Macaca fascicularis: one gene and its partners. The protein of the gene in region 7 interacts with the protein of the main gene of each other region in a pairwise test. Links are inferred from orthologs where the notes say so. Each region holds a gene or a part of one and is shown on either strand. Other genes may lie near its edges. The genes, in order: OTUB2, FAM110A, KLHL38, ARHGEF5, TSHZ3, FAM161A and TRIM54.

Region 1 (4,171 bases), on a different chromosome or scaffold from region 7:
ATGGAACCTGGCTCAGTCATTCCTCCGCAGAGGGAAGATAACATGCCTTGGAATGAGCACTGGCTGGGGAGTCAGAAGTCTGGGGATCCAGCCCAGCCAGGCCACTTCTTAGCTCAGCAGCACTGGGCTGCTCCTGTCACCTCCCTGGCTTTCTTGGCTGTAAAAAACAAAGAGGAGAAACCCCCTGAAAACAAACGGGGGTCAGGGTGGGGGCAGGTAACACAGCCCCTGTAGTCACGTGCAGAGTGAATTGGAAACCAGCTCTGGAGTCACACTGCCTGGGACTGAATCCCACTTGAGTGCTATGTGACTTACGCAAGGAACTTAAACTCTCTGTAATGTTTCCTCATCTGTGAAATAGGGATAATAATAACAGGACCTACCCCCATAAACCAGTTGTGAGGAAATTAAGCAAGATACTTCTGTATATGTGGAGGGTTCAGGATAGCACCTGATACATAGTAGGTGTTCTGCATAACTGTATAAATAACTGTAAAAAGTTAGATGCTATTGTTACTGCTCCTTGAGCCTCCATTGACCCCACACTCCCTACCCAGGTCATGATACATGCTTGGAAGACTCAGATGTCTGTATGCCCAGAGCCTAGCCTCGTGCCTGGGACTTACAGAGTAAGAGTTGTGGCGGGGGGGAGGGGCGGGGCAGCAGCAGGAAGGGGAATTGCTCAATACACACTCCTGGAAATATTAATATTGTGAAGTGGATGCATGCAATGCACTGAGCCCCCCTTCCCTACAAACTCTCCCTACTACACCCAAAGCAGCTCCTCCAGGACTCAAGGGCTGGTGAATGAATCTTTGAATGATAAATATTCCTATTTTGATGTCCATTAATAATGAGCTTGTGGGCAAGATGAGTCATCTAGACATGGTTCACGGATATCCCTACAATTCCAGAGCCACAGAGTCAACGATCCTGGACATTCATTCATTCAACAAACATTAACTGGGTGCGTGGCAACCTACTGATTCATGAGTTAGAAGAGGGTAAAATATTATGTAGAAGCCATACTTAATGTTATTGGACACGTGTTCCCTAAGCGCCTATCCTCTGATCTTGTGCAAACTATACTTATGTGACCTTGTTTATGAATTAATGAGGGCCAGCTAATCCTTCAGAAGACTCCAATTTTAGGTTTGCGCAAAAGCCCTTCAGCCTTTGCAAACGAGGACCTGTCTTTCTGGGTTGAGCTAACTCCTCTGCTAGTTAAAAGCTTTCTGTGTCTTTAAAAAGGGGAGGCATCCTGTCAAATGGTCCCTAAAGCATAGGCTGAAGGCGCGTGAAGTCCCACCCACTTTCTATGACGTCCTGCATCCCGGCTCCTGATTGCCCGCCTGAGACGTCAATTGCGGGGCGTGTGTCTTCCTGGGACACAGTGGAGGTCTAACCTTTGGTTTGCGGAGTGGTCGGGTGTATTCTCCGCCGCCCCCACGCCCTCGAGGTCCCCGCCACCGAACCAGCGGCGGAGCCCGCCCGCGCCTCCCGCGGCACTCCCGCACCGGATCGCTCCTCGCTGGGGCGGGACCTGGCCTGGCGGCTCCGGTCACTATGGTCAGTGATCGTGGGGGATCGCGAACGGGGAGCGGGCAGGGGGCGCGGTGGGCGGGGTCGCTGTCGGAGCGGGTGCACCTGCGGGACGGGGGTTGGACGCGAGGCTCAGCCCCCAGACCACCCCCGCCGCGTTCCGAACCCCTGAAATACGGAGTCCGGACGGATACTGGGGGCCAGGTCGCGCCCCGCTGTCCCCCGTGGACGTGCAGCTGAGGAGGTCCAGCTCGGCCCCGAGTCCCCGCCCCCAGCGTGTCCGCCCCAGTTGGCCCTGGGCGCCGCCTCGACGGCGCTGGGTGGGCGCCCTCGACGGAAGCAGGGACAGGGAGGCTGCAGCGCTATGGGTCGCCTCCTCTTTGTTAAGTAGCCCCCCAGTCAGCAGTCCACGGCCCCTCCCACCCGAGGGCTCAGCCGTCAAAGACCAACCCACTCCTGGCCCCTGCCCCAACCCCACGAGGGGATCTAGGAGTTGCACAGGGGACCAGATCGTCTGTCCCTGCGGGCGACTAGTCCGTCTCCATTTTTGGAGTCGGGACCCACGTGGAGAGGTTGCCTTAAGTTGTGAGGCACATGAGTTAGGGGTCGGGGAAAAGAAAATACTCAGGAATCCCTGATGGAGAGTCCTGTCTGCACAGAACGGGGCCCAGAGACCCTCTGAGCCAGGCTAACCCTGGGCTTGGGCAGGTGGGGAAACTGAGGTCAGACAGGGAAGGGCTGGTACTGATAGTGGTGGTCCTGGGACTTGAACCCAGGCCTCTGGACTCTCAGTTCAGTACTCTTTGTGTTACATCAGCTCACCTTCCAGGTTGCCATGGGGTCAGGCATCCTGCAGGGGACTGGGTGGGATGGCTGCCTAAGACCCTTCAGCCCTGAGCAGGGGGGAGCCTGTGGAGTGAGGGCTGAGTGGCTTGAGTCGGGGCCACACAGCCCCAGGTTCAAGTCTCACTTCCACCTCCTGGAAAGCAAAGAGGCTTTGGTTGGTCCACTCTCCCCCTCAGCACCGTTTTGCACATCTGTAATGGGCTGCTGTGAGAACCATGTGAGATGATTAGCTGGAGCTTTTCCTGTGACAACAGAGTCCTGGAAATGGGTGTGCACAGATGCCTGGTTCTTCAAGCTTAGCCTCCTCTCTCCTATGACTGGGCAGGAAAATGGGTCACCGCAGCAGGATGCTGCCAGGCTGGGGCATGGGTCAAAGCCTGGTCATGGCCTGGCATGATCTGGGTGTGGCATAGGCAGCCAGGGCACTCGAGCTGGGACTGTCCTTGCCAAGCCAGCTTGGGGCGTAGCTGGGGGCCTCTGGGGCATCTGGAAGCACCAGCTTCCTGCTTCCACTTGGTGCCCAAGGGTTTACCTGGTTGAGCTGCTCCTGGAAGGCAGCCCAGGTGTTTCTGCATCACCCACCAGGGAGGGATGGAGCTGGGGTAATGATGGGCTTAGCCACCCGGGAGCTGGAGGCTGGCATGCCCTCTGGCCACCACTCGGCAGCTGAGAGCACAGCAGAGGCGGTAGCCGCTCTTTGTGCCATGCAGTGAGGCCGCTCACTCTGCCCCCTATGTGCCCTAACTCAGGAGACTGGAAGTTAGAGGGCAGGTGGGGTCCAAAGCCCTCACACCTCACCGGGGGCTTGAGTGCCTTGGCAATGGATGAAGTGATTAACCCACTAAAATAGGATGTCTGTCTGGGAATCACAGGGGTGGAGGCAGTGCAGGGTCTGTCTGTTCCCTTCCCTTCACGTGGCATTTATTGAGCACCTACTGCATGTGGGGACCATACTGGGCCCTATACTGCATGGTGGGTTTTTATGTTGAACCTGCATTGTGTGGATGGTGGTGAGTGTGTGTGTGTGACAGAAGGAATATCCTTGGAAAATACAGCATCTTCTTTGCTTTCCTGTTTCTACATCACTGGGCTAAGCTTGAGGAAGGGCCCCCCGTGGAAGACACAAAGCCCCTTGGGAAGGTAGGGGTGAGACAAGGACCAGGCCTCTGGCAGGGAGTGCAAATAGCGAGGAGTCTCATGCACTCAAGGTGCATTTCATGTTTGGCGAATGAATGAATCAGACATAAGCAGGAAAACCACAGGGGCCTATTGTGCTTTGTTCTGTTATTTGTCAAACAGGTCCCCAGTGGGCGCCTTTGTCAGGCCTGTGCTGGGCACTGTGACACTAATGAGAAAGACAAGGTGCCCGCCCGCTCTAGGACCTCACTGCCTGCTGGCCAAGACAGCTGGACACAAGCAGTGTCTGAGCTACAGGTCATGGCCTAAGAGGCCTAAGGACTTTGGGAGCACAGTGAGGGGTCAATATGCTCTGAGGGAGTGGGGGTGTTGGAAGGTTCTGCAGAGGAGGTCTTTTGAGCTGGGGGAGGTCTTTTGAGCTGAGTTGAAGGATGTATATGAGTGTTCAAGAAGGATTTGGGAAGGGTTCATTCCTTCTGGTGGGTGCGGGGGGAAAGTGGGCTATCAGGCTTTGAAGCATGGTCAAGAATGGGGAAAGGTAAACAGCCTCTGAAGATGCAAGGAGATTGAGGGAGGCAGGGAAATTGAGTCTGGAAAATTCGGTGGGATCAGGATGTTCTGTGCAGGGCCTCACTTGTGCTATGGG
Region 2 (4,318 bases), on a different chromosome or scaffold from region 7:
TGCACTCCACCTTGGGCAACAGATCTAGACCCTGTCTCTAAAAAACATAAATAAATCAATATTTAATACTTAGCATTTCCCCCTATCTTTAAATCTCTTTTAGCTACTTCACTTTTATTTTTATTTTTTTGAGATGATCTGTTGCCCAGGTTGGGGTGCAGTGGCATGATCTCAGCTCACTGCATCCCCCACATCCCAGGTTCAATCTATTCTCCTGCCTCATCCTCCCGAGTAGCTGGGATTACAGGCTTGTAGCACCACGCCTGGGTAATTTTTGTATTTTTAGTAGAGACAAGGTTTCACTATGTTGGCCAGGCTGGTCTTCAACTCCTGACTTCAGGTGATTTGATCGCCTCAGCCTCCCAAAGTGCTGGGATTACAGGCGTGAGCCACTGCTCCTGGTGGCTGCTTCATTTTTAATGGCTGCATAATATTCCTCATCAGAAAGTGGGAATAATTAGGCTAGTCGGCGTGGCTCATGCCTGTAATTCTAGAACTTTGGAAGGCTGAGTTGGTAGGATTACTTGAGTCCAGGAGTTTAAGACCAGTCTGGGCAACATGGCAAAACCCTGTCTCTACAAAAAATACAGAAAATACCGGGTGTGGTAGTGCACACCTGTAGTCCCAGCTACTCGGGAGGCTGAGGTGGGAAGATTGCTTGACCCCAGGAGACTGAGGCTGCTGTAAGCTGAGATCCCACCACTGCACTCCAGCCAGGGTGACTCCATCTCAAAAAAAAAAAAAAAGGAAAGAAAAAAAGAAAGTGTTAATAATTAAAAGTACTTTTAGAGGGTTATGTCATAAGCCTTGACAAGAGTTGTTCTGTAAAGCTACCTGGCATGTAAAACGCTCAATTAAGTTAGTTAGCTCTTCCACAGGATGGAATTATATAACCAACCCCTTTCAAGAGGCATTTAAGTTGTTTCCATTATTTTGTCATGATGAATAAGGCTGAGCAATATTAATCTTTGCTCATATCTTTGGTCATTTCCTTTGTAAATTTCAGGACTGCTGGGTGTGCACATTTTAAAATTAACTCACTCATCATCATGCAGTTAGGAGAACAGAGAAAGGAAGGGGCTGTGCGGGGTCACATAGGGAGTTAGCGTCAAAGTCAGGACTAGGAATCAACCAGGGTCCTCTAACTGGAGCTCTTCCAGCTGGTGCCCTAGAGGAAGTCCCAGCTGCAAGCCGGAGGGAGGAGGAAGGGAAAGAACCAGGCGCCGGGTCTGAAGCGGCGGCAGGAAGAAGGTGGGGCCGGTTGGGAGGTGGGGGCGGAGCTGCTGAGCCGCGCCGCTCCTTCAGGCTGCAGAAGCTAAGCGGTCGCCTGGCAACCCCGGCGGCGCGCCGTTCGAACGGAAGCGAGGAACCAATCAGGAAGTCCGGGTCGAACCATTCTGGAGTGAAGGGGGGCGGGGTGCTCACTTCCCCTTTCTCGGCGCTCGAGGGACTTTCCCTGCGGTGGGGGCCTTCGACAGTCAGGGCCACCCGCTCAGCTCGACTGCGGAGGGCAGTTCCGAAGGGGACCCCAAAGGTGCCCACGCGGGGCTGGGGCCTCCTGGGCGCCGTTGGGAGCGGTCACTACCAGCCCGGGTCCGAGCTGTCAGCCTCTCCGAAGACTGCGCGGAAGGAGCCGGGACACGCCTAGGACGAGCTCCAGGTGAGGGCGCGGGTGGTTCCGGGTGCGACCCGGGGTCTGGGGGACTCTGTTCCCCGAGCGCCTGCTGTCTGCTTTCTCCCCGCGTCGTACCTGCGTGTCATTTCACAGATGAGGACTCTGAGGTTCAGAGAGGCAAGTGTCCTGGCTCGGCGAGCTCTGGCAGAGAATCCAGTTCAAGGCTTTCCGCCCTACCTCGCAGCCCCTAGTCTAGTCGTATCTAGACTTGCCTTGAGAGGTACAGACGGGCAACTAGTAGTCATTTTCCCAGCATTTTATCGGCAGGGACACGGCCTATGGACCCCTGGCTGGATCACCTATCCCTGCGCCCCACACTGTCCTCGGGATACCCCTTTTGGGCGTCTTTCTTCTCCGCAGTCCGGGGTTGGACTCGGCTCATTTGGCGCCCTTCTGCCTACTGGGCTCTGAACTCCAGAGCTCCCCCTCTCAGAGGACCACTCTTTAGCCATCGGATGGCACTGACATTTCTGGGCTGGATATAGGGGCAGCAGATTCTCCAGCCCCCAGAGTCGCTGCTGGCCTCTTGGGAATCTTCCCCGGTCTGGGGAAGGGAATAAAGCCAGTCCCTGAACCAAAGCCACTAGTCACCAGAGACTTTGGAATTGGGGGTGGGGCCGGGATTCCCTCAGGAGGAGCATCTGATCTAGGCCAGATCCTGCTCTGTCTCCTGGGGACACCCCTTGCCCCCTAGGTTGCTATTGTCAGTCTCCTTTTGTAGGTGGGGAAACTGAGGTTCTAAGAAGTTAAGCCTCTTGTCGAAGTCCCAGTCAGACAATGCAGTGGTTATTAGCTCCTGGTCCCTCTGGCTTCAATCTTAGAATCCTTGACACCCAGAGTCATGCATTTTGAGAGTCTTGAATCTCTTCATAAGGGAGTTACATATCTCCTCTCCTCTGGAGCCTCCCCCTGGCTTTGGGGACAGGATCTCCGAACACTCAGAAAACAAGCCTTTCCTTTATTCTTTCAACAAATATTATTGACTTCATAAGCCTTGCTCTTGTTCTTGCATGTTTTGTTTTTCTCAGTAGCATTTACTCCACCTTATGTCCTATATATTTTACTTATTAGCAAATTTATCACCTTCTCCCACTGTGATGCAAGGCAGGGGCTGAGGCAATTGAGGTCCTCACCACCAGTGCAAAATTTAGGGATGCCCTGAACCTCAGTAATCAAGATAACTGAAACTAATGTTCATGGACCATTTGTATGTTCTGCAGGCAGGAGGTTAACTCACACAGCCTTCATGAAGCACAGTCCTCCCATCTCATTCTCTCTCTCTCTCTCTATATATATGTGTGTGTGTATGTGTGTGTGTGTATATATATATGCATATTTATAAATCGTGAAACCACTGCCCTGTCCCTGACTTGCTCTGTGACATTGAGTAAGTTTCTTCAGTCTCTGGGCTGAGCTAAGAAGTCATGATGGTGCACTCAGGCCTGGGCAGAGGGCGGTCTAGGATAGGAAGCAGACTTGGTTGTGGATTACAAATACATCCCCCAGACTCAGCTGTCCCACTTCTAAGCAAAATGATGTAGATGCAGTGATGCTGCAGTGTGGTTTGTAGGCAGAAATGAGACACACTCTAAGTGGCCACCAGTAGGGGATGATGGGAAATTCTACTGTGCAGCTGGGAAAAAGGACATGCTCTTTATGTACTGATGTGGCACCAAGAACAAAACATACTATTGAGCAAAAAGAACAAGATGAAAATGGTACACATAGCATCATGACGCCATATGTGTAACAATGGAGACAGAATATATATTCATACTTGCCTGCATCTGCCTAAAGTCTCTCAGGAAGGATAAGCAACTGTCTGGTCACGATGGTGCCTGCAGGGAGGAGAAATGGGGACAGGGTGGGAGGAGGTTGTTGTTGTTTTTTTTTTTTAAACTTCACTATCTTTACCGTTTTTGAATTTTGAGTTGTGTGCATGTATCATCTATTTTAAAAATTTAAAAATTAAGGCCAGGTGCGGTGGCTCACGCCTGTAATCTCAGCACTTTGGGAGGCCAAGGCGGGTGGATCACTTGAGGTCAGGAGTTTCAGACCAGCCTGGCCAACGTGGTGAAACCTCATCTTTACTAAAAAATACAAAAATTAGCCGGATGTGGTGGCACGAGCCTATAATCCCAGCTACTTGGGAGGCTGAGGCAGGAGAATCACTTAAACCTGGGAGGTGGAGGTTGCGGTGATCCCGGTGCACTCCAGCCTGGGTGACAACAGGAAAACTCTGTCTAAAAAATAAAATTACATATATATATGTGTGTGTGTGTGTATGTATGTATGTGTGTGTGTATATATATATATATATATATATATATATATGCATGTTTATAAATCATGAGACCACTGCCCTGTCCCTGACTTGCTCTGTGACACTAAGTTTCTTCAGTCTCTGGGCTGAGCTAAGAAGTCATGATGGTGTACTCAGGCCTGGGCAGAGGGCGGTCTAGGATAGGAAGTGGGCTTGGCTATGGATCTGCCTCCCACTCACCTTTCTAATCCTGCGTGCCAGGTCCTTCCCCAAGACCTTGCATGTGTTATCTCTCTCATTCCGTCCCCACTGCAAAATCCTTTGTCCCCATTTTGCAACCTCAAGTGCAAACCTAGAAGATCAACTTGGTAGAGGTGAGC
Region 3 (4,183 bases), on a different chromosome or scaffold from region 7:
CCCCAACAGCGACCAGATGCATACAAACATCTGTAAGTGTCTCACGGAGCTAAACTACTACACATGAGTGGCAGTAGACGTGGTTCCAGAGGCAGACAGGACACCAGTCCGATTCCAGCTAAGGAGTCCTGCGGACATGGGGAGCCACTGAAGGGCCTGATGCTGAGAACTGGCAAATTCTGAGTTGCCTTCCCAGGGGCTGCTCCAGAGGGGACAGGGTGGATGTATTGGAGAGAGAAGCACTAGGAGCAAAGAAAAAAAAATGCATGGGAAGCCATTGCACTAGTCTGAGCAAGATTTTGAGTAGGAGACGAAGTCAGGCTTGCCTGCCTTTCGTGGCTAGGACAATCACGAATCTCCCTGAAGGCAGGGGCAGGACAGACCTGAGGTCCCCCTCACTCTTTCTCGTGATTCTGATTGTTATTGAAAGCTGCCTCCTACCACATCACTATCCTCATTCCTCCCCCAATTCTCTACCTCCTTCTCTTCCTCCTCCTCCTCTTCCTCCTCTATTCTCTCTCCCTCCCTCTGTCCCTGCTTCTTCTTCCTCCTCATCCCCCTTTGTCTTCTTTCTCTCTCTCCCTAAAGCAATATGGCTTGCCTCCTGCCTCTAGCTCAAGCTGCCAGACCAGACAAAATGGAAAAGTAAGACAGAAAAGGAAGTCTGAACTATAAAAAGCCAGCTGAAGAGCAATCAGCACGTGTCTGGGAGAGGCAGACGTGACAGGAGGAGCTCGGCCTTGCAACTGTCAATCAGAGGCTCCCGAGTAAGGAGACCCGACAAAGGTCTGGGCCTTCATGAGTCTGGAAACCCTGGGGTGCTCAACAAAAAAAAAACAACTCTTGTCATGGATTTCATCACCTAGGCTCCTGGAGGAGGAAATCACAGCTCTCCCCAGCAATCCTGCCAGGCAGATGGGGGGAAATAGGGATCCATTGAATAGCACCCACAGGCTCATGCTCCGGCTTCCCTTGTGACCACCTGCCACCTTCACTGTGGCCCAGAACCATCTTCAGTGACTCTCCACAGGTCACAGCAACCTGTTTACAGACAGCTAGAATTCCCAGGCACTTTTAGGACAGGGGACTCGGGATGGTTCCAAGCAGACAGCAAAGTCTTCTCTAACAGAAGCCACTCCTCCCAATCTATTTTTGCCGATGTAAACACTTGCCAAGGAAACACGGCATGTGGGCATGCGCGGGCCCTGCAGGCCCTCGGGTTGCTGCAAAAGGCAACTGGAAAGTCACATGTCATAACAGTGGAAAGTACATATGCAACTATTCTTAGCCCTGGAATGTATACACTGTCTCCTTGGCCAGCAGTCCTTGCACAAAGCTCTAGAAAACTATGAAAGTGCCTTCAGCATAAACAAATCCAGAAATCTCCCAGGACAAATCATTTGCCAACTGAAAGAAAGGCCTGGAGTTTATGGTTTCCCTCAGAGCTAGAGGTAGAAACTCTCCGGGGGGACAAGCCAGACCAGGCACCAGTGGATGTCACCGCGGCAAAACAAGGTAAGTATCCCTCATGCTTATTTCTTCTGCAGGTAGACAGCCAGGTGTCATCCAATAAACCAGGGGATTGTTTGGTCTTTCCTTCTATTTATTCCATCTTTAAAACAAGACTCAATGAAGTTATATTTAAAGATATGTATCAAAGGTCCATTTTCTTCCCTCATTTCTGTCCAGTGACCAGAGGGCCACACCTCCAGAGTGTCACCTTTGGGGAATGATTGACACCCAGAAAGAGATGTTTAGACAAGTTTACTCAATAACAGATATGCCATCGATCTGGAAAAAGGCTCAGGAACTTCTGCTGGCCAAATGCATGGACTGTTATCTTGCTTCAGACTAACATTTCAGCTTCTGATAATAGAGTAACTTCCAACAACTTTAGTTTGTTTGGTTGGTTGTTTCTCTCAGATTAGCTGAAGATACTATATGCCTATTACTTTCGAAAATAACCATAACCCAAAAGAGCTCAGGTCTGAGATGTATGTGGCCTTCCTTTCCAATCTTCCCTACACAATATCCGTGGCGACATCCACAAACATCATGGGGAATGGAATAGGAGCACTGGTCTTACAGTCCCCGCAGCTGAACCCTCCAGCGCCTGAGCTGAGAAAGACTTGACTCTTGCTGACTCTGGGGGCTTCCTTCCCTCTTTGTAGGATGGACGAGGAGTCTCCAGATGGGGTGCTCTTCAAAGATCATGACTTCTCTTCTGACTTGTTGAGGCAGCTCAACAGCTTAAGGCAAAGCAGGATCCTGACTGATGTGAGCATCTGTGCCGGTGCCCGGGAGATCCCCTGCCACCGCAACGTGCTGGCCTCCAGCAGCCCCTACTTCAGGGCTATGTTCTGCAGCAGCTTCCGGGAGAAGAGTGAAGCCAAAGTGCAGCTGAAAGGCATTGACCCCCCAACCCTGGACCAGATCGTCTCCTACGTGTACACGGGGGAGGCACTCATCGATGCTGACAATGTCCTCCCCGTAATGGAGGCCGCCTCCATGCTACAGTTCCCCAAGCTGTTTGAGGCCTGCTCCTCATACCTGCAGAGCCAGCTGGCCCCCAGCAACTGCCTGGGCATGATCAGACTCTCAGAAATCTTAAGCTGCGAGACCCTCAAGAAGAAAGCCAGGGAGGTGGCACTGACGTCCTTCCCAGAGGTGGCCGCATCAGCCGACCTGAAGGAGCTCTGTGCCTTGGAGTTGAGAGACTATCTGGGAGACGATGGGCTCTGTGGGGAGGAAGAAAAGGTGTTTGAGGCCCTCATGGTTTGGATCAAGCATGACCTCCAGGCCCGGAAGCGATACATGCAGGAACTGTTCAAGCAGGTCAGGCTGCAGTACATCCACCCAGCCTTCTTCCAACACTTCATCGCCAACGATGCCCTCCTGCAGTCCTCGCCTGCATGCCAGCTCATCTTGGAGACCGCCAAAAGACAGATGTTCTCTTTGTGTGGCACCAGCGCCCCAGACTGCAAACTCCTATTGCATGTCCCTCCAAGAAACTCTTACCAAGATTTCCTCATCCTCTTGGGCGGAAGGAAGGACAGCCAGCAGACCACCAGGGACGTCCTACTGTATAGCAAACAGACTGGCCAATGGCAGAGCCTTGCCAAACTCCCGACACGGCTGTACAAGGCCTCTGCTGTCACCTTGCACCGCAGCGTCTACGTGCTGGGGGGCATGGCTGTCAGCTCAGGGAGGAGTCTGGTCAGTCATAACGTCTACATCTTCTCCCTCAAACTCAACCAGTGGAGGCTGGGGGAGCCCATGCTGGTGGCCCGCTACTCCCACAGAAGCACTGCCCATAAGAACTTCATCTTCTCCATCGGGGGTATTGGAGAAGGGCAGGAGCTCATGGGCTCCATGGAAAGATATGACAGCATCTGCAATGTCTGGGAGAGTATGGCCAGCATGCCCGTGGGGGTGCTCCACCCCGCAGTCGCTGTGAAAGACCAAAGACTCTATCTCTTTGGAGGAGAGGACATCATGCAGAACCCTGTGCGCCTTATCCAGGTAAATGACTGGTTCTTCCCATCACATAACTGCATGAGTATGTGTGCATGGACACACCCACACCTGCATGCACACACATGCACATGCACACATATACACCAACACACACACATGTACATACATACATATACACAAATACACATATGTATACATGCACGCACATATATATGCACGAATGTATATTCATGCATACATACATACACGTATGCACATATGTATGCACATACCAACATGCATACATGTGCACATGTGTACACATATGCACACATGTATGCGCATACCAACAAGCATACATGTGCACATGCATACACACATACAATTCATGCACACATACACACATATATCTGCACATACATGCACACATTTATACATACACGTGAACACAAATACATACATGCACACACATGTGCACCCATGTACACTCATATAAACACTTGTCATTTGCAAGGAAAGAAGAGAGGAAGGGAGGGAGGCAAGAAGGATTTTCAGCAAGAGTTTAAGGATATCAAATGCCATCTCTATGCACAGAGTTTATCTTCATTTGAGGAGAAAAATACATATCTAAAAATTCAAGCTATTATAGAGAATATTGAATGCCAGATAGTGAAGTCCTACAGGAATTTGGCAGACGCTTCTAACTCAAGTCAGTAAGGCCTTAAAA
Region 4 (3,639 bases), on a different chromosome or scaffold from region 7:
CCAAGGTTATGAGGGTAGGTGAAGTATGGAAACTCTAGAATCAGGTTGAAAGGATTTGTATTTTGCAGGGGTAGCCGATTCCTGGTATTTGACCATGCTCCCTTCTCCTCCATTCGGGGGGAGAAGTGTGAAATGAAGCTACATGGACCTCACAAAAACCTGTTCCGACTCTTTCTGCGGCAGAGCACTCAGGGCGCCCAGGCCGAGTTCCTCTTCAGCACGGAGACTCAGTGAGACGGGGCTGGGCAGAGGAGTTGGGGATGGGGGAAGATGGGCAGCCTAGAAAAGAAGTGGCACCAAGACAGAAAATGTGTCCAGAAAACAGCCACGGCCTCGTTTAACCCATTCTGGACTGGGGACCACCATAGAGAAATCCAAACGCCTGGAACTAATGGATAACTTGCAGGAGATTGCGGTGGGAGAGGGTACAAAGTCACCACCGAGGCCTAGCATCTATTTTACACTCTTTACTCAAGAAGGACCAGGTCTGTGTGGTATCAGAAAGGAGAAGGACTGGTATGGAGTGAGCAAGGGATTGGAATACTGATATCTGTGGGCACCTGCCTCCATGCCTGAGGCAGAAGCCCTTCTATGCCCCAGCTGGTGCGCACAGATGTGAATAAGACAAGTGCCGGGTGACTTTCGCTTTCTGTGCTCCCATCTTCCAACCCAGTCCTCTGTTGACCAGAGATCCATAGTGTTGAGAATGCTTATTTGCTCATGTTTTCAATAATAATAAAATAAAATGCATTCACACAGACATACACTTTTGAGAGTATTAATAGGACCTATAAAATCTGGAACACAGTGCCTGCAATCATGAACATATAAAAGCCTGTAGCTGTTATTCCTATTATAAAAGATATATGAACAGTCGTTTAAAAGTTTGACATATCTAAGTGTTTGAGGATCCCTATGTTGTAGACACTTTTTCAGTTTTGTCCCTTGGAAGATACTTCAGAGTGGGACCGACAACACCTGTTCTCATTTATTGAACAGAAGGACTAGTATAGGAGTTTGTGTGCGAAATAGCACATAAGTCAAATAATCAGATGCAGATGCATGTTGTTGGTTTGCTGCTTTGAACGGTGTTCTGGAACAGTAATAGTGTCTGGGCTCAGTTACCTAGGCACAACTGAGCGCAGAGGCAAAGAGAATGTAAAAACCTTCAAATGATTACAAACTTAGGCTTGTATTACACTATGCAACAACAACAAATAAAATAGACATATCTCCCTGATCTAATTATTATTATGAAACAATGCTCATCTCTGAGATATTTGGTTGGAGGGAGATAGGCAAGGGAGTATCAAGAATCATGCAAAATGGTGGAGGGACTCTAAACTGAGATGGACGCTTCACTTAGCACAATTTCCAAAACAGAAAATCTATAGACTTTATGACTAACAGACTTTATGCCCCAACTTGGAAGATATGAGAAGCCCTAAGGAGGATAATTCTGGAAAGAGAAGAGGAAAAGTAAAGTGTGACAAGACACATTCACATATAGTTCAAGATTGTGTCATGTTTCCAACCAAAAGGAGTCCTATATAGTTTTGTGGTAGAAGTCGTGGAACTAATAAGTCCTTCCCACAGTCTTTTGCCATCCCCATCCTTGGCCCTCCTGCTACACCCCCACAGTTGACGCTATGACCCTGCTTTGTTTTCTCAGAAGTGAAAAGCTTCGGTGGATCTCAGCCTTGGCCATGCCAAGAGAAGAGTTGGACCTCCTGGAGTGTTATGGTGAGTGAGGGTCTAAGAGGGAGAGAAAAGCAAGCAGGGTCAGATGTCACCTTTGGATACAGGGGTTTAAAGGACTGGGTGGGAACTCTAGGCTTCCATTTATTGATATTCTGTAAAATGTCAGGGTGGAAGATTGGCCTCTAGAGCTTAAATGCCTGAAACGTATCGCCTAAAACTGCTCGTCACCATGGCAGTCCCCCTTCCCTATACACGCCCTTCCTTGGGCAATAGTTTGCTCTTTTTAAAAACATTTGTCCCCTTAAGTCTAAGCTGACATTACTTCGCCTAGATTTTAGCTGCTTGAAGGTCTTGTGAGGGTAGGGGAAGAAAGCCTGACGGTGGTGGGAGGTGTGCAGGAGGGTAGCACCCCAGATCTGTCTTGACCACACTTCTCCTAAGAGGGTGACCTGAGGTCACCTACCCCAGGCTTCTGGGTGCCCATGGGGAGCCGCAGGCGCACACATATTCTGTATGTGTCTGCGTTCACACCAAGACTGGACTTCTTATGCCTCTCATGCCAGCCCCACAGTTGTCCTCCAGCAAAGATTTCCTAATTTAAAAACAGAGAATCTGATCTCAACACTGGACCTTTGGTGACTGAAAAGAACAAACAACTACAAGGAACCCTGGGAATGAAGTAGGAGAGCCGTGTAGTAACTGAGCTCCGCTAACTTGCTCTCTGTGTGCTCCATCTGCTGGCTTCAGTTCCCCAGTGGGTGAGGAGGGCAGGAGCACTCTTCCTCCTTCATTTTGACCTTGCGAATGGCCAATGGGGAGGATCTTGAGAAAGCAAATAGTAATGCAGTATTCCGTTTGTTTTACAAGAGAATCAAGGCAGTGTGGTAACATAAAAGAGCCATAAACCCACATACGATGGAATACTGATAGGTGAAGCATTCTCTGAGGCTTGTTTTCTTGAGCTTCAGCTCTATGGACATGTCCCCTGGTTCTCAGAAACATAGAAATAGAGAAATCCTGAATGTTCTCAAGAGTCATCTGATCAACCTTGATCAATAACCATCTTGATCACTGATAGATGAGGAAACTGAAGCTCCAGGGCATTCAGTCTCTTGCTTAGGTCAGACCTGGGTCCCCACTGGTTAAGTCTTTCTTGGTTCCACATCTGGTTCCTGGAAGAAAATGAACAATAAGACACAGACTCAGATTTTATAATCCAGTTGGAGAGGCAAAACATGTCCATGTAGCAGTTAAATAAGGGATAAATGCCTTGGCATGAACAAGCAGTCTTAAGAGTTCAGAACCCATTGAAGATTAGAGTCAGGGAGGGTTTCAGAGGGAAGATGGGTCATTAGCTGGATCTCAGGTGTTCGAGATGAGGAACTAAAGGTGGTCACAATGTATTTCTCAACCCGTCTCCTCTGGAGAAGTGGAATTTTTGGTCCATTTCATTTCTGGTATGTCTATTTCTTTATTAACCATTTTCAAATTTCCTCTTTTGTCTGTGACTTTCAACAGCCCAAACCCGTCTCTATCTCAAGTCCTCCCACGCCACCCCCTGCAAGTCCCTGTCTGTGTTCCAATCCCCTGCGTCTCCTAACCTTTCTTCACACTCTTCTCTTCCAAAGACTCCCCCCAGGTACAGTGCCTTCGAGCCTACAAGCCCCGAGAGAACGACGAGTTGGCACTGGAGAAAGCCGACGTGGTGATGGTGACTCAGCAGAGCAATGATGGTAAGCGGGAGGACGTGTGAGCAGCAGGCCAGGCACTGCAGGAAGGGCAGCGCTGGGAATGTGTTCACTTCCCGCAGCTGCCGTAACAAAGTACCATGGACTGGGTGGCCTATGGCAACAGAAATGCATTCTTTCACAGTTCTGGAGGCAAGAAGTCCCAAATCAAGGTGTGGGCAGAGCCATGCACCTTTTGAAACCTCTAGGG
Region 5 (4,439 bases), on a different chromosome or scaffold from region 7:
AGGAATCCATCAGGTTTACAGCTAATTAGGTGAACACTAATGAAGCTGGCAAAACAACTTTTCTTTTTTTATGGCTGAGCGGACCTTTCAGTTTGGAGGGGAAAAAAAATTCTCGAGTATTCTCAAGGTTGCTGGGGACTGGATTTCCAGTTACCAATCAGCAGACATCTTTCTTTTTCCCACTCTCTCTCTCTCTATCAGTACAAAGCAATCAATTTGTCATCACTCCCAGTATGCCACAAAAGCTGGCATGAACCTTATAACTTGCAGCTGGGAGAACTGAAAAAGAGGAGAAAAAAAATGGGAAGTTTCTTGTCCATCCAAACAAACAAACCAACCAAAAAAACCTCTGTGCATACTTATCACCAGCCTAAATGTGGAGTTTTTTTTTTTTTTTTTTTTCTCCACTCTTCTTAAATAAGCAGCTCTTCAGTCAGCCTCCACCCCCTCCTCCACATGTCCATTAGGCAGAGGCATTCTGATAAAGTAAATCCAAAACCCGAGTATGGGAAAGAAAGAAAGCACTCATGCTGCCAGCTTCTGATTGACCATTAAGCTATTGATGAATGTGCCTGTCAGGAGAGAGACAATTAAATCAAATATGAAACAAAGTCGTTTTGACGGGTCATTTTGATAGAGCAAAACCATTCTTCCATCTCCTATTAGTCCTGCAGTCAAGTTTTTTATATAATGAATTTTTCTTAACTGACCTGAGATTTCCTGGCTGGCTTTCTTTTTTAATAATAAAAAAAAAAAGTGCAGAAAGGTTAGTGAACAGGTTGCTCTAAAAATAAATAAATAAATAAAGCCAACAGCAGGTTCCCTCCTCCTCTGATATTTTTCTGGAGGAAGCTATCAAATATGAGTCTCAGATTGGCAGGGTGCAACTGAAGAGATGAACTAGAGAGAGAGTTCTGAACCAAATGTAAAGATGTAATCACATATGGTTCATTGGATGGAGGCACACACATACCTTAAAATGTGTATCCAAAAAGGAAAGAAAAAAAAAATTTTCAAAGACTGGAAGAAGCCCAAGACATTCCTACTACTCAACTTTGTGAAGGATTCCTCCAAAGTTTCAGAGTTTATTTTGGGTAGATAAGCTCATTGCTTGAGCCTGGAATTTAAAGTAGAAGGTGGGACGGGCAAGAAGCAAGCTCCAGGAGGTTAACTAGGGAGGCGGCAAGCTCCCTACAATCACTCCTGGAATTTTCAAACTTTCTAAATTTGGGCAACACAGAGGACAGAGAACAAAACCTGCATCCTAAGCCCCAAACCAACCCTGTTTTCTTCTGAGATTTTCTGAAGACACTGGCAGGCAAGTACATTTCTGGAAGAAGAGAGAATTATCATTCCTTCTCTGTGACCCCGTGTAAGGGGTCTGGAGTGCAGAGTGCAGCCAACGTGTGAGGTCCCCTGGCAGTGCCGGCTGGCGTGATGGAAATTATGGGCACGATGGGTACAACGCCTTCATCCAAGATGGGCACCAGCCAATGCCCTGACCCTACTCTCTGCCCTTTCCTCTAACATCAAAAGAGAAGTAAAAGAAAGGAAGAGGAAACAGAAGAAAGGAAGCCCCACTTAACCCTCCCCTTCAGGGAGCATCTGAACTCTGCACATCTGAGTGTTACTCATATCAAAATACATCACGTCCATATGTGGTCCTCTCGGCAATTCGCCCCAAATCCCAAAGTTGCACTGACAGGCCCCTCCTGACGTCACAGAGCTTGGCCTCACTATTCCAAGTGATTTATTGATGTTTATTGGGAATGAATAGATCAAAGGCAGCAGCATGACGGGCGATCAATCAGTCATCAAATCAAGGATGGCAACGGGCCAGAAACCCTTCTTCCAGGCAACATGCCCCCAACCGACATTATTGCAAAATAATGTTATGTGTGTGGTTTTTGTTTTGTTTTCAGTGATGCGTTTTCCAGAAAAGAAAAGAAAAAAAATCGGCTCAGTCTTAACAGGAGTTGACACTCCCGGTTGAAGAAAGAAAAAAAAAAAAAAAAAAAAAGGAGGAACAAAAAAGTACTCACACACGTCCCAGAACTAAGTGCTATGCGGAGATGAGGGTGGGAGCAGCAGTACAAGGAGGGGGTGGGGGCAAGGAAACACAAACAGGGGAGAAGGAAACGCCAGCATCTAACATGGACTTGACAGTCATCTGACAATACCCAGACCCTGTGCGCTCCGGTTTCCACCGCTGTGCCCAGTTTGGGCCCAAGAAATGAGGAATCAATCGGATTAGCACTAAGGTGGCCAAGGGGACTGGCTCGTTCACTCGCTCGCGCTCCCTGGCTCGGCGGACACCGGGCAGTCTCCCGCCGGTCGGCCGCCCGCAGGACGCGGAAGGTGTCCCGGGGAACTCAGGTGACCCCGCCCGCCCCCCACAGAAAAAGCCAGACCGGGGTTGCTTCCCATCCCCTCTGGAGCCGGAGAGCTCAGGAGGCAGGGACCTGGCGCGGCTCAGCGCGCCCAGCAAGCGGCTCCCCAAGTGGGTGCGAGAGGGAAGAGGGCAGAGCGCGGCGGGGCGTCCGGGGGGCGCCCGGTACCCGAGGCGGGCGCACGCACCCAAACAGGAGAGCTGCACCCGGAGTTACTCAGCGCGGGCAGAGGAGCGGGGCGAGGAGCGGGGTCGCGCCCGCTGGAGGCGCGGGGCGAGCGGAGGAAGAGGAGGAGAGCAGAAGGAAGGGGAAGCGGCTCGTACCTGCTGCGCGCCGGGGCGCCTGCTGCTTCCTCCTCGGCATGATGCTTCTCCGGCGACTGCCACTGCCGCCGCCGCCGCCGCCGCTGCCGGGCTGAGGACAGGGAGGGAGGGGCGGCGGGCCCGCGGGGGGGCGAGGCGGGCCTGCTCTCAGCCTCCCCCCCGGAGAGCGGCCGCCCGCAGGATGCTGCTGCGCCCAGGCTCTCCGCGTCCCCCCCGCGCCGCGCTCCGCCGCGAACCCCGAACGTGCGGAGGGAAGAAGGAGGGCGGGCGAGGGAGGCTCGGGGAGGGAGGAGCGCGGGGGGGAGGAGGAGGCAGAGGAGGAGGAGGTGGAGGAGGAGGAGGAGGACCGCGCTGCCGGCGGAATGGGAAGTTTGACAAATCGCTCCAGAGGCCGGAGGAGGAGGGGGCGGGGAGGAGCGGCGGCCCTGCCCCCCCCCGCCCCGTCCCCAGACGAGGTGCGCGGGGTTCGGGGCTGGGGGGCGGGGAGAGGGGGAGAGGGCGGGCAGAGGGGTGGGAGGAGGAGCGCGGGAGCGGCCCGGGCCGGTACTGCCCCGGCCCCCGCCCCCAGGCCGGGGGTCACGGCATCCGGGGGGACGCGCAGCCGCCGCCGCGGCCTGGGGCTCGGCGGTCCAGTCTTCTGCCCGCGGCGCGGCTGGAGCGGCGGCGTCGGCAACAGGCAAGCTTAAAGGAAAAGGAGATGATCGTGTCACTCGCCCGCTCGCGGGGGCGCCGCGCCCCCACCCCCCGGCCCCAGGCCCGCCTGGGACCCCCGCCCCGCCAGCAAAAGGGGTGCCGCCCCTCCGCCTCCGCCCCGTGCGCACACGCAGGGGCGCGGCGCCAGCCCCGCCGAGCCCGTCCCGGGGCGCCCGTTACCCCCCACCCCTATTCCCACCCAGCGTTCGTCCCCGGCCACCCCCCAGTTGCCCCGCCCGGCCCGCACTCCTCTCCACCCGCGGACTGCGGAGCCCCCAGCGCTGGCCGGGGCTGGCGCCCCCCGGGGATGCCAGAGCCCACAGGCGGGCCCCCTCCAGGGAGGAGGCGGGCGCGGGCCGGGGCGGGTGGCGGCAGCCTTCAGACCCCGCGCCACCCAGCTCCTCCCCCAGGACCCGCCGCTGCCACTTCCCCCAATTTTTTTTCCCCGGACAAACTTTCCTGGGCCCGTCCCGGGGGTCGATGTGGGAGGGGGTTCCTTCAAGTTTCCTCTCCTGACTTTGGGATGATCAGGGTCTCTCCACTCAGCCCCTCGCCCCCTGGGAGCCGAGCCGCGCCCCCCATCCACGGCGCGGGCCGATCCTAGGGCGGGACGGGGGCGGGAGAAGGAAATCGGGCTCCCCTGCCCATCCCCCCCCGGGGCTCACCCCCGAGAGCCGGGGGGGCCGCCGCGCCCTGTCCCGCGCCCGGCCTGCCGGCGCTGCTGGACTAGAGGGATTGATTATTGATTGGTGATCGGGGTCGCTGAGGCTCCGGGAGGGCCCGGCCGGCGGTCCGCGGGGAGGAGGAGCTGGCCGGGCGGCGTGGGCGGTAGGGCTACGCGGGCTCACTTACGGGCGGCGGCGAGGGCGCGGGTGGGCCTGAGCTCATGCGGGCGACCCCCGGGCGGCGGCGGCGGAGCGGGAGCCGGAGCCGGAGCGGCGCGGGCGGCGGCGCATCGATGCGCTGCGGGCTCGATTGTGTCTCCCTGGGCCAGCTCTCAGGCCGGGAATGGGGCGGCCGCGGCGGGGCCGGC
Region 6 (4,152 bases), about 35 Mb from region 7:
GCCACAAAACTGGCTGCCGTGACTGACTGGAAATTGCTCCCCTGGACACTTGGCCATACCTGGCGGTCCATATCCCATGGTTCTAGCTCTGGCTTCTGCTTAGAACCCAGCCAGCATCTGTTCCAGCACTGGAAGGAACTGTTTAGCCAAAACAAAGAGCAGCCTGAAGGAAGTGGGGACGTGGGAGACTTTGCTGGTGCTCACACCCATACAGGAGAACAAAGGTTTGGTAAGGGCTCAGACCTTAGAGATGGATTCTCGACGATGTGCAACGCATAACGAGGAAAATACTGACCGGAGGGGGCCTGTCCTAGGGCTGGGGAGCGGGAGGAGGGCAAAGGATAGAGAGGGGTAGATAGGGAGGGAGTAGATAGGGAGCGGCAGCCTCGGCCTCAGTAAGCAGGGGCTTATGGAGCAGATGCCTGAGACTGCACCACGTCCGCTATTTTGAGGTTTGGCTTCTCTTACGACCACGTGGTGCAGAGGGAAGGCGCCATTTGATGCGTCCAAATCCCGAGTGGAAAGAGAAGATACGGATGAGGGAGATGGGTGTGTCTGTGATGACTCTTGGGCACTCGCGCCGTTCAATCCTGTCACTCTCAAGCTGATGAACCCAAAGCAAACGCCAGGTTTACACTACCTGCACCCTCACTCATTAGTGGGAGGGTCAGGCACCACCCAACTCTGGGCTTTTATTGGTCAGGCCAAGAAAAACGCGAGAGGGACAACCGGGAGCCTCCTTCTGATTGGTGGATTCCTACTAGCCCTCAAGTAAATCAGAGTAGAATGCACCTCCCTCCTTCCCACGCTGGCTCCCGCGGGAGACATGTTAGGTAGCGCGACGCCAACCTTGCCACTCTTCAGAGGCCGCCACCCAGTAATACGCCCTGCTTTCCTCCTCCGCCGCCGTCTCCTCCATCAACCGTCTCCTTCTAACATATTATTGCAGTTAATAAAAAAGCGCTCTTTTCTTCACAAAAGCAGTTGTTTCATTGTATAATGTGAGAAGTCTGCGTTCAGGCGGTTAAACGCAAAGGAGAGGAAAAGTGCCCTGTTCAGCCTGCCAACCTTTGGAACCAGCAAACAGACTCGGTACTGACCGCCATGATCCAGTAAGCACCCGACTCGGGTCTCTGGCAGCCTGAGAGGAGTTTGTGTGACTTTTGGTCCCTGGCGGCTCCTGTAGTGTCCCCAGTTACGGCGCCCATAGCAACCGGCTCCCTAGCTAGGAGCCCCCGGGTCGCCAGGGACCGCACCAGCTTTCCCGCCCCGGGCCAGCGCAGGCGCTCAGGTCCCGGAGGCGGGGCGATGGCCGCCTCCCACCGAGCGGCAAAGCTGGTGGCCTCCAGTCTCCAGACTCCTGTAAATCCCATCACTAGAGCGCGGGTCGCCCAGTACGAACGCGAAGACCCCTTACAGGCCCTGGCGGCAGCAGAGGCGATCTTGGAGGACGAAGAGGAGGAGAAAGTGGCGCAGTCCGCTGAGGCGTCGGTAATACTGGGGCGGGACGTGGGTTGGGACCTCGCACGGGCTGGGTGCTGGCTGAGGGCTGTCCGGGTCCCCGCCCAGCTGAGGGCAGGCTGGTAAACGCGGGACCCTGTGCACATACTCCCTACTTGGTGGTCCTGGCCCAGCCCCTTCTCTACGCTCACGAAAAATACTCTAAATCGAGGCGTTGAAAAGTGTTTTAATTTTCACCAGAGAGTCAGTTGTAAAAGTTTCCTAGACAACATTTATGTTACTCTGTTTCTGGCGAGTGCAAAGTATAGAATTTTACTCTTTACTCTCTAGCATCTCGGGAATGGATGGATAGATAGATAGATTTTATAATTTGAGGAAAACTGTTCTGTCAGGTGTGTTTCGTTATTACCTTAAGATCTTGGTTATAAGTGGATCTCAACATAATGCTGGAGAGAGGCGTGTTTAAAACCATCACGTGTTCACTGGCTAAATCAGACACGGATACAGATAAGCAAATCACTGAGGTTTCAGTGTTTCCTAAACGGCTCCTTAGGGTACAGCGAGACAGCCTTTTCACTGATCAGTTTTCAGTGTTAAATCTGTTGTGGACACCAGTCTAGCAGGTGGAGGGCAGGGTCTGCCATCTGCTCTATTCACTTAAAAGATGGGAATCTTGGCTGGGCGCGGTGGCTCGTGCCTGTAATCCCAGCACTTTGGGATGCCGAGGCAGGCAGATTACGAGGTCGGGAGTTCGAGACCAGCCTGACCAACATGGTGAAACCCCGTCTTTACTAAAAATACAAAATTTAGCCGGGCATGGTGATGCGCGCCTGTAATCCCAGTTACTCGCAAGACTGAGGCAGGAGAATTGCTTGAATTTGGGAGGCGAGGGTTGCAGTGAGCTGAGATCTCAGACCCAGTCTCAAAAAAAAAAAAAAAAAAAAAAAAAAAAAAAAAGGAATCTTGAATTTAAACTAGCAATCTGCAGATAGAAAAAGTTTCTTTTTTTTTTTTTTTTTTTGAGACGGAGTCTCGCTCTGCCGCCCAGGCTGGAGTGCAGTGGCCGGATCTCAGCTCACTGCAAGCTCCGCCTCCCGGGTTTACGCCATTCTCCTGCCTCAGCCTCCCGAGTAGCTGGGACTACAGGCGCCCGCCACCTCGCCCGGCTAGTTTTTTGTATTTTTTAGTAGAGACGGGGTTTCACCGTGTTAGCCAGGATGGTCTCGATCTCCCGACCTCGTGATCCGCCCGTCTCGGCCTCCCAAAGTGCTGGGATTACAGGCTTGAGCCACCGCGCCCGGCCAGAAAAAGTTTCTTAATACCATGTGTCCAAAGCTTCTCAAACACAAAACTTATGATTGAGGACTAATTGAAATCCCTGGATATTTTGGAATTCTAATCTCTTTAATCTACCATAAAATTGTTAATGAGAGCATCTTTAGCAACACCTTTTGTGACCAGTCTTTCTCCAGTAAACAACTTGAAGTTATCCAGAGTAAGGTAGACTGAGACCCTGAATGTGAACCAGGATCAGAGTGCTAGGACTGATTTTGTTCATTATAACCTACCCCTCAACACAGTTTTCAGTAGGCAACAAGGCAGCGTGATGGAGAAAAACTATTTAAGAGTTACATATTAGGATCCATTCCCTGCCACTCCCTAGGTGGTGTTAGGACACACTTTCTTTAAATCTCGGTTTCCTCATCTGTAAAATAACTATAATAATTGTCTCTTTTTCCCATCTCAGCTCTATGAGAACCAAATGAAAGAATGTGTGTCTCCTCTAAAGAGCAATCTATATAAAAGAGTAATCTATATAAACGAGATGCCAGTGGGAGTGTCATTTGTGTGCCTTCCCAAAGATTAAACTACTTTGGCTTGCTGTGGGAAAGGAGTCAGTCACTTCTAAGTTGCAGATATGCTTCCAAAGTGCCCTGTTAAACTACAAATTTTTTTTTTTTTTTTTTTTTTTTTTTGAGACGGAGTATTGCTCTGTAGCCCGGGCTGGAGTGCAGTGGCCGGATCTCAGCTCACTGCAAGCTCCGCCTCCCGGGTTTACGCCATTCTCCTGCCTCAGCCTCCGGAGTAGCTGGGACTACAGGCGCCCGCCACCTCGCCCGGCTAATTTTTTGTATTTTTAGTAGAGACGGGGTTTCACGGTGTTAGCCAGGATGGTCTCGATCTCCTGACCTCGTGATCCGCCCGTCTCGGCCTCCCAAAGTGCTGGGATTACAGGCTTGAGCCACCGCGCCCGGCAACTGCAAATTTGTGTTAGAAACTGTTATTACCTTAGGAGGGATCAGTTTATACAATAATCTAGTATGGAAAGGACAGGATCCTACAAAAAACAGAAGGAATCCAAGTCTTAAGAATCTGATACTGTTCTGAGACCACCACACATGAGGGATCTAAAAGTAAAGCTGGGTAAGCTGCCACAGTGGGTCTGATAGCCAGGCGCACAGGGCTTGGGGAAGAGGCATTAAAAAGGCAGGAAGAGTGCAGGAAAGAGGCTCTGATTTCTTCACTGGTTGGCTTGGGTCTCCATCTTGATTTCTTTTTTTTTTTTTTTTTGAGACGGAGTCTCGCTCTGTCGCCCAGGCTGGAGTGCAGTGGCCGGGCGCGGTGGCTCCATCTTGATTTCTAAAGGTTAATTTGCCTTAACCTTATCATCTATAAAATGTAGTAAAGTCA
Region 7 (3,639 bases):
GGCTGAGGCGGGCAGATCACTAGGTCAGGAGTTTGAGACCAGCCTGGCCAACGTGGTGAAACCCTGTCTCTACCAAAGATACCAAAAATTAGCTGGGCGTGGTTGCAGGCCCTGTAATCCCAGCTACTCAGGAGGCTGAGGCAGGAGAATCGCTTGAACCTGGGAAGTGGAGGTTGCAGTGAGCTGAGATAACGTCATTGCACTCCAGCCTGGGCAACGGCAAAAAGTTCCGGAGACTGCTGGTTAAACAAGGATCCTAGGAGCTAAAGCAGTAAATTGCGCCACCTGGCTTTCAACAGAGGCAAATGCAAATACTGCCTGGAGGAGAATATGCTCAGTTTAGGCCTGTAGGTATTCCCTAGATTAATTAATATCAACAAAATATTGGCTCACAATTGAAGGTGCACAGAGAAACGTAATCCATGAGTGAAGTCAGCAGACATAAAAATTACAGATTTAGGACACCCCCCAAAAGGAACTGAGATATTGGAATTATTAAATAATTGGAAGTCACTATGAATCAAATGCTTTTTAAAACAAGATGAAAAATTTAAAAAACCAAACAATAATAGAATACCAAAAAACAACCATGTAGCTGGGTGTGGTGGCTCACGCCAGTAATCCCGACACTTTGGGAGGCTGAGGTGGGAGGATCACCTGAGCCCAGGAACTGGAGACCAGCCTGGGGAAATGTTGAAACCCCGTCTACAAAAAAAATGCAAAAAATTAGCTGGACGTGGTGGCATGCACCTGTAGTCCCAGCTACCTGGGAGGCTGAGGTGGGAGGATCACCTGAGCCTGGAAGGTCGAGGATGCAGTGAGCTGAGATTGAGCCACTGCACTCCAGCCTGGGAGACAGAGTGAGACCTTATCTCAAATATATATATATATAAAATATATATAACATATATAAAATATATTATATATATTATATATATATAAAATAGAACATTTAACAGATGGCTGGGCATGGTGGCTGGAACCTGTAAACCCAGTGACTAGGGAGGCTGAGGCAGGAGGATAAGGCCTGGAGTTTGAGACTAGCCTGGGTGACAGTGAGACCTCCATCTCTAAAAAAATTTTTTTTTTTTTTTGAGACGGAAGTCTCACTCTGTCATCCAGGCTGGAGTGCAGTGGCAGGATCTCGGCTCACTGCAAGCTCCGCCTCCTAGGTTCACACCATTCTCCTGCCTCAGCCTCTGGAGTAGCTGGGACTACAGGTGTCCACCACCACACCTGGCTAATTTTTTATATTTTTAGTAGAGACGGGTTTTCACTGTGTTAGCCAGGATGGTCTTGATCTCCTGACCTCGTGTTGGCCTCCCATAGTGCTGAGATTATAGGTGTGAGCCACTGCACCCGGCCTAAAAAATTTTTTTGTTGTAATTAGTTGGGAGTGGTGTCATGTGCCTGTAATCCCAGCTACTCGGGAGGCTGAAGCAGGAGGATCGCCTGAGTGCAGGAGTTCGAGGATCCAGTGAACAATGATCATACTACTGCACTCCAGCCTGAGTGACAGAGTGAGACTGTCTCTTACAAAAAAAAAAATTCGGCCGGGCGAAGTGGCTCACACCTGTAATTCCAGCACTTTGGGTGGCTGAGGCAGGCGAATCACAAGGTCAGGAGATCAAGACCATTCTGGCTAACACGGTGAAACCCTGTCTCTACTAAAAATACAAAAAATCAGCCGGGTGTGGTGGCGGGTGCCTGTAGTCCTAGCTACTCTGGAGGCTGAGGCAGGAGAATGGCGAGAACCCAGGAGGCGGAGCTTGCAGTGAGCTGAGATCACGCAACTGCACTCCAGCCTGGGTGACAGCAAGAATTCGTCTCAAAAAAAAAAAAAACTCAACAGGTGAATTAAATGATAGATTTGTCTGAAAACAGAACTAGTGAATAGCATGAGAGGACTAAAAGAAAAACAGAATGTGCAGTTCTAGGAGATGAGAAGGCTGAGAGTGAGAAGGTCTAACAGGTCTAATCAGATTCCCAGAATGAGAGGATAAAGAGAATAGAGAAAAGGCAATATTATGCAGATGGATAATCGTGAAGAATTTCTCAGAATTTATGCAGGAAACGAATCTACAGATAAAGCATCTAGCCCAGTGCCTACTATCTGGTGGATGTTTGGAGACTGTCTGTTCCTTCCCCACTTAGTGGTGGAGGGCTTCTCTCCACCTCCTTCCAGAATCCCTAGAATGTGCTTTTGTACCTTTTGATGGTTCAAACCTTCTAGATTGCTGTAGATGCCCTCATGGGGGGTGGGGTGGAGGGGCCAGCCCTCTCCTAGGCAACCCTGGCTGGGGTGAGGGGTATAGCTCTAGGTGAGGTCCCAGCTCTAAGTGCTAACCTGTGTGTGTATCAGAGTGAGCTCAGCGATGGCATCGCGATGCTAGTGGCAGGCAATGACCGTGTGCAAGCAGTCATCACGCAGATGGAGGAGGTGTGCCAGACCATTGAGGTGAGCCTGGGCTGGAGGGCAGGGGGAACAGCAACTGGCTGGCCTGCGGACCCCGGGCTCCCAAGAGAACTGCTCCTCTCTGACCTCTGGCCAAACTGGTCCAAAAGTTTCTGGGGTCCTGGGAGTGGTGGGAGGTGCTTTTGCCAGGCTGCTGGGTGCTCATTCCAGCTTTTCCGCAAAACTTTAATCCAATTATTTAACTTCTCTGTGCTTTGGTTTTGTTTAACCTCATAAAACAGTGATGATGATAAATGGTACACCAGCTACCTCATGGGTTCTTTTTGAGAATTATATGGAATAATGCAAATAAAAACCAGGGCTAGGGATATAGACAACACTCAGTGAAGCTACTTTAAAGTATTGTGTTTTTATTATGGAAAAGATCTGGGCTGGATTCTGGCTCAGCCACTAACGCACAGTGTCACTATGGGTGGGTCACTTTCTGTGTTGGTTCTCTGTGAGTATCCTGTGCTTTCCCAGCCACCGGGTCTCAGCCACGCCTTCCCTCATCCTTGCTCCCCATCTTTTAGGACAATAGCCGGAGGCAGAAGCAGTTGTTAAACCAGAGGTTTGAGAGCCTGTGCGCAGTGCTGGAGGAGCGCAAGGGCGAGCTGCTGCAGGCGCTGGCCCGGGAGCAAGAGGAGAAGCTGCAGCGCGTCCGCGGCCTCATCCGTCAGTATGGCGACCACCTGGAGGCCTCCTCTAAGCTGGTGGAGTCCGCCATTCAGTCCATGGAAGAGCCACAGATGGCGCTCTACCTCCAGGTGGGCCCTAGGGGAGGGTAGCAGTGCCGCACAGTGGCTAGAGTCGGGGCCTTGGTACCTGGAGACCCAGGTTCAAGTCTTGTCTCTTGCACCTGTTTGCCACTACGACCGTGGGCAAGTCACCCCCTCTGAGTTCATTTTCTACTTAACGATTGGGATGTGCCTTCCCACCTACCCCACAGGACTGTGGTGAGACTCAGAAATGGGACTTTGCCCGGGTTGGCCCGGTGCTTACTCTCACCCTCCTTTTCTTCCCTGCAGCAGGCCAAGGAGCTGATCAATAAGTGAGTAGGCACAGCGGGAAGGGAAAGGAGGGGGCTGGGCTGCTCCACTGGCTGGGGGCGGGGCTTGAGGGTGCTGGGGCATTGCCAGCTGAGTCCGTGTGGCCACCGCAGGGTCGGGGCCATGTCGAAGGTG

Evidence for each region.
Region 1: the proteins of TRIM54 (region 7) and OTUB2 interact in binary tests that used the Homo sapiens proteins (3 or more experiments, as listed by UniProt). The two-hybrid records come from large-scale screens. The link is inferred for Macaca fascicularis from reciprocal best matches to the Homo sapiens genes TRIM54 and OTUB2.
Region 2: the proteins of TRIM54 (region 7) and FAM110A interact in binary tests that used the Homo sapiens proteins (3 or more experiments, as listed by UniProt). The two-hybrid records come from large-scale screens. The link is inferred for Macaca fascicularis from reciprocal best matches to the Homo sapiens genes TRIM54 and FAM110A.
Region 3: the proteins of TRIM54 (region 7) and KLHL38 interact in binary tests that used the Homo sapiens proteins (3 or more experiments, as listed by UniProt). The two-hybrid records come from large-scale screens. The link is inferred for Macaca fascicularis from reciprocal best matches to the Homo sapiens genes TRIM54 and KLHL38.
Region 4: the proteins of TRIM54 (region 7) and ARHGEF5 interact in binary tests that used the Homo sapiens proteins (3 or more experiments, as listed by UniProt). The two-hybrid records come from large-scale screens. The link is inferred for Macaca fascicularis from reciprocal best matches to the Homo sapiens genes TRIM54 and ARHGEF5.
Region 5: the proteins of TRIM54 (region 7) and TSHZ3 interact in binary tests that used the Homo sapiens proteins (3 or more experiments, as listed by UniProt). The two-hybrid records come from large-scale screens. The link is inferred for Macaca fascicularis from reciprocal best matches to the Homo sapiens genes TRIM54 and TSHZ3.
Region 6: the proteins of TRIM54 (region 7) and FAM161A interact in binary tests that used the Homo sapiens proteins (3 or more experiments, as listed by UniProt). The two-hybrid records come from large-scale screens. The link is inferred for Macaca fascicularis from reciprocal best matches to the Homo sapiens genes TRIM54 and FAM161A.

What each region holds. Positions count from the first base shown.
Region 1 is NC_088381.1:162,041,008-162,045,178, forward strand, and holds the start of OTUB2 (ubiquitin thioesterase OTUB2), read left to right. Parts: upstream 1-1,368; 5' UTR 1,369-1,566; coding exon 1,567-1,569; intron 1,570-4,171. UniProt on the Homo sapiens protein: Hydrolase that can remove conjugated ubiquitin from proteins in vitro and may therefore play an important regulatory role at the level of protein turnover by preventing degradation.
Region 2 is NC_088384.1:86,552,280-86,556,597, reverse strand, and holds the start of FAM110A (protein FAM110A), read left to right. Parts: upstream 1-1,423; 5' UTR 1,424-1,660; intron 1,661-4,318.
Region 3 is NC_088382.1:133,286,661-133,290,843, reverse strand, and holds the start of KLHL38 (kelch-like protein 38), read left to right. Parts: upstream 1-1,299; 5' UTR 1,300-1,429; coding exon 1,430-1,515; intron 1,516-2,171; coding exon 2,172-3,522; intron 3,523-4,183.
Region 4 is NC_088377.1:186,023,071-186,026,709, forward strand, and holds part of ARHGEF5 (rho guanine nucleotide exchange factor 5), read left to right. Parts: intron 1-68; coding exon 69-230; intron 231-1,672; coding exon 1,673-1,743; intron 1,744-3,329; coding exon 3,330-3,434; intron 3,435-3,639. UniProt on the Homo sapiens protein: Guanine nucleotide exchange factor which activates Rho GTPases. Strongly activates RHOA. Also strongly activates RHOB, weakly activates RHOC and RHOG and shows no effect on RHOD, RHOV, RHOQ or RAC1.
Region 5 is NC_088393.1:38,616,019-38,620,457, forward strand, and holds the start of TSHZ3 (teashirt homolog 3), read right to left. Parts: upstream 2,895-4,439; 5' UTR 2,754-2,894; coding exon 2,714-2,753; intron 1-2,713. Other genes in the region: uncharacterized protein, read left to right, coding at 2,895-4,010. UniProt on the Homo sapiens protein: Transcriptional regulator involved in developmental processes. Functions in association with APBB1, SET and HDAC factors as a transcriptional repressor, that inhibits the expression of CASP4.
Region 6 is NC_088387.1:60,064,998-60,069,149, forward strand, and holds the start of FAM161A (protein FAM161A), read left to right. Parts: upstream 1-1,289; 5' UTR 1,290-1,308; coding exon 1,309-1,491; exon of another isoform or gene 1,492-4,152. UniProt on the Homo sapiens protein: Involved in ciliogenesis.
Region 7 is NC_088387.1:94,913,942-94,917,580, reverse strand, and holds part of TRIM54 (tripartite motif-containing protein 54), read left to right. Parts: intron 1-2,362; coding exon 2,363-2,458; intron 2,459-2,988; coding exon 2,989-3,222; intron 3,223-3,483; coding exon 3,484-3,506; intron 3,507-3,617; coding exon 3,618-3,639. UniProt on the Homo sapiens protein: May bind and stabilize microtubules during myotubes formation.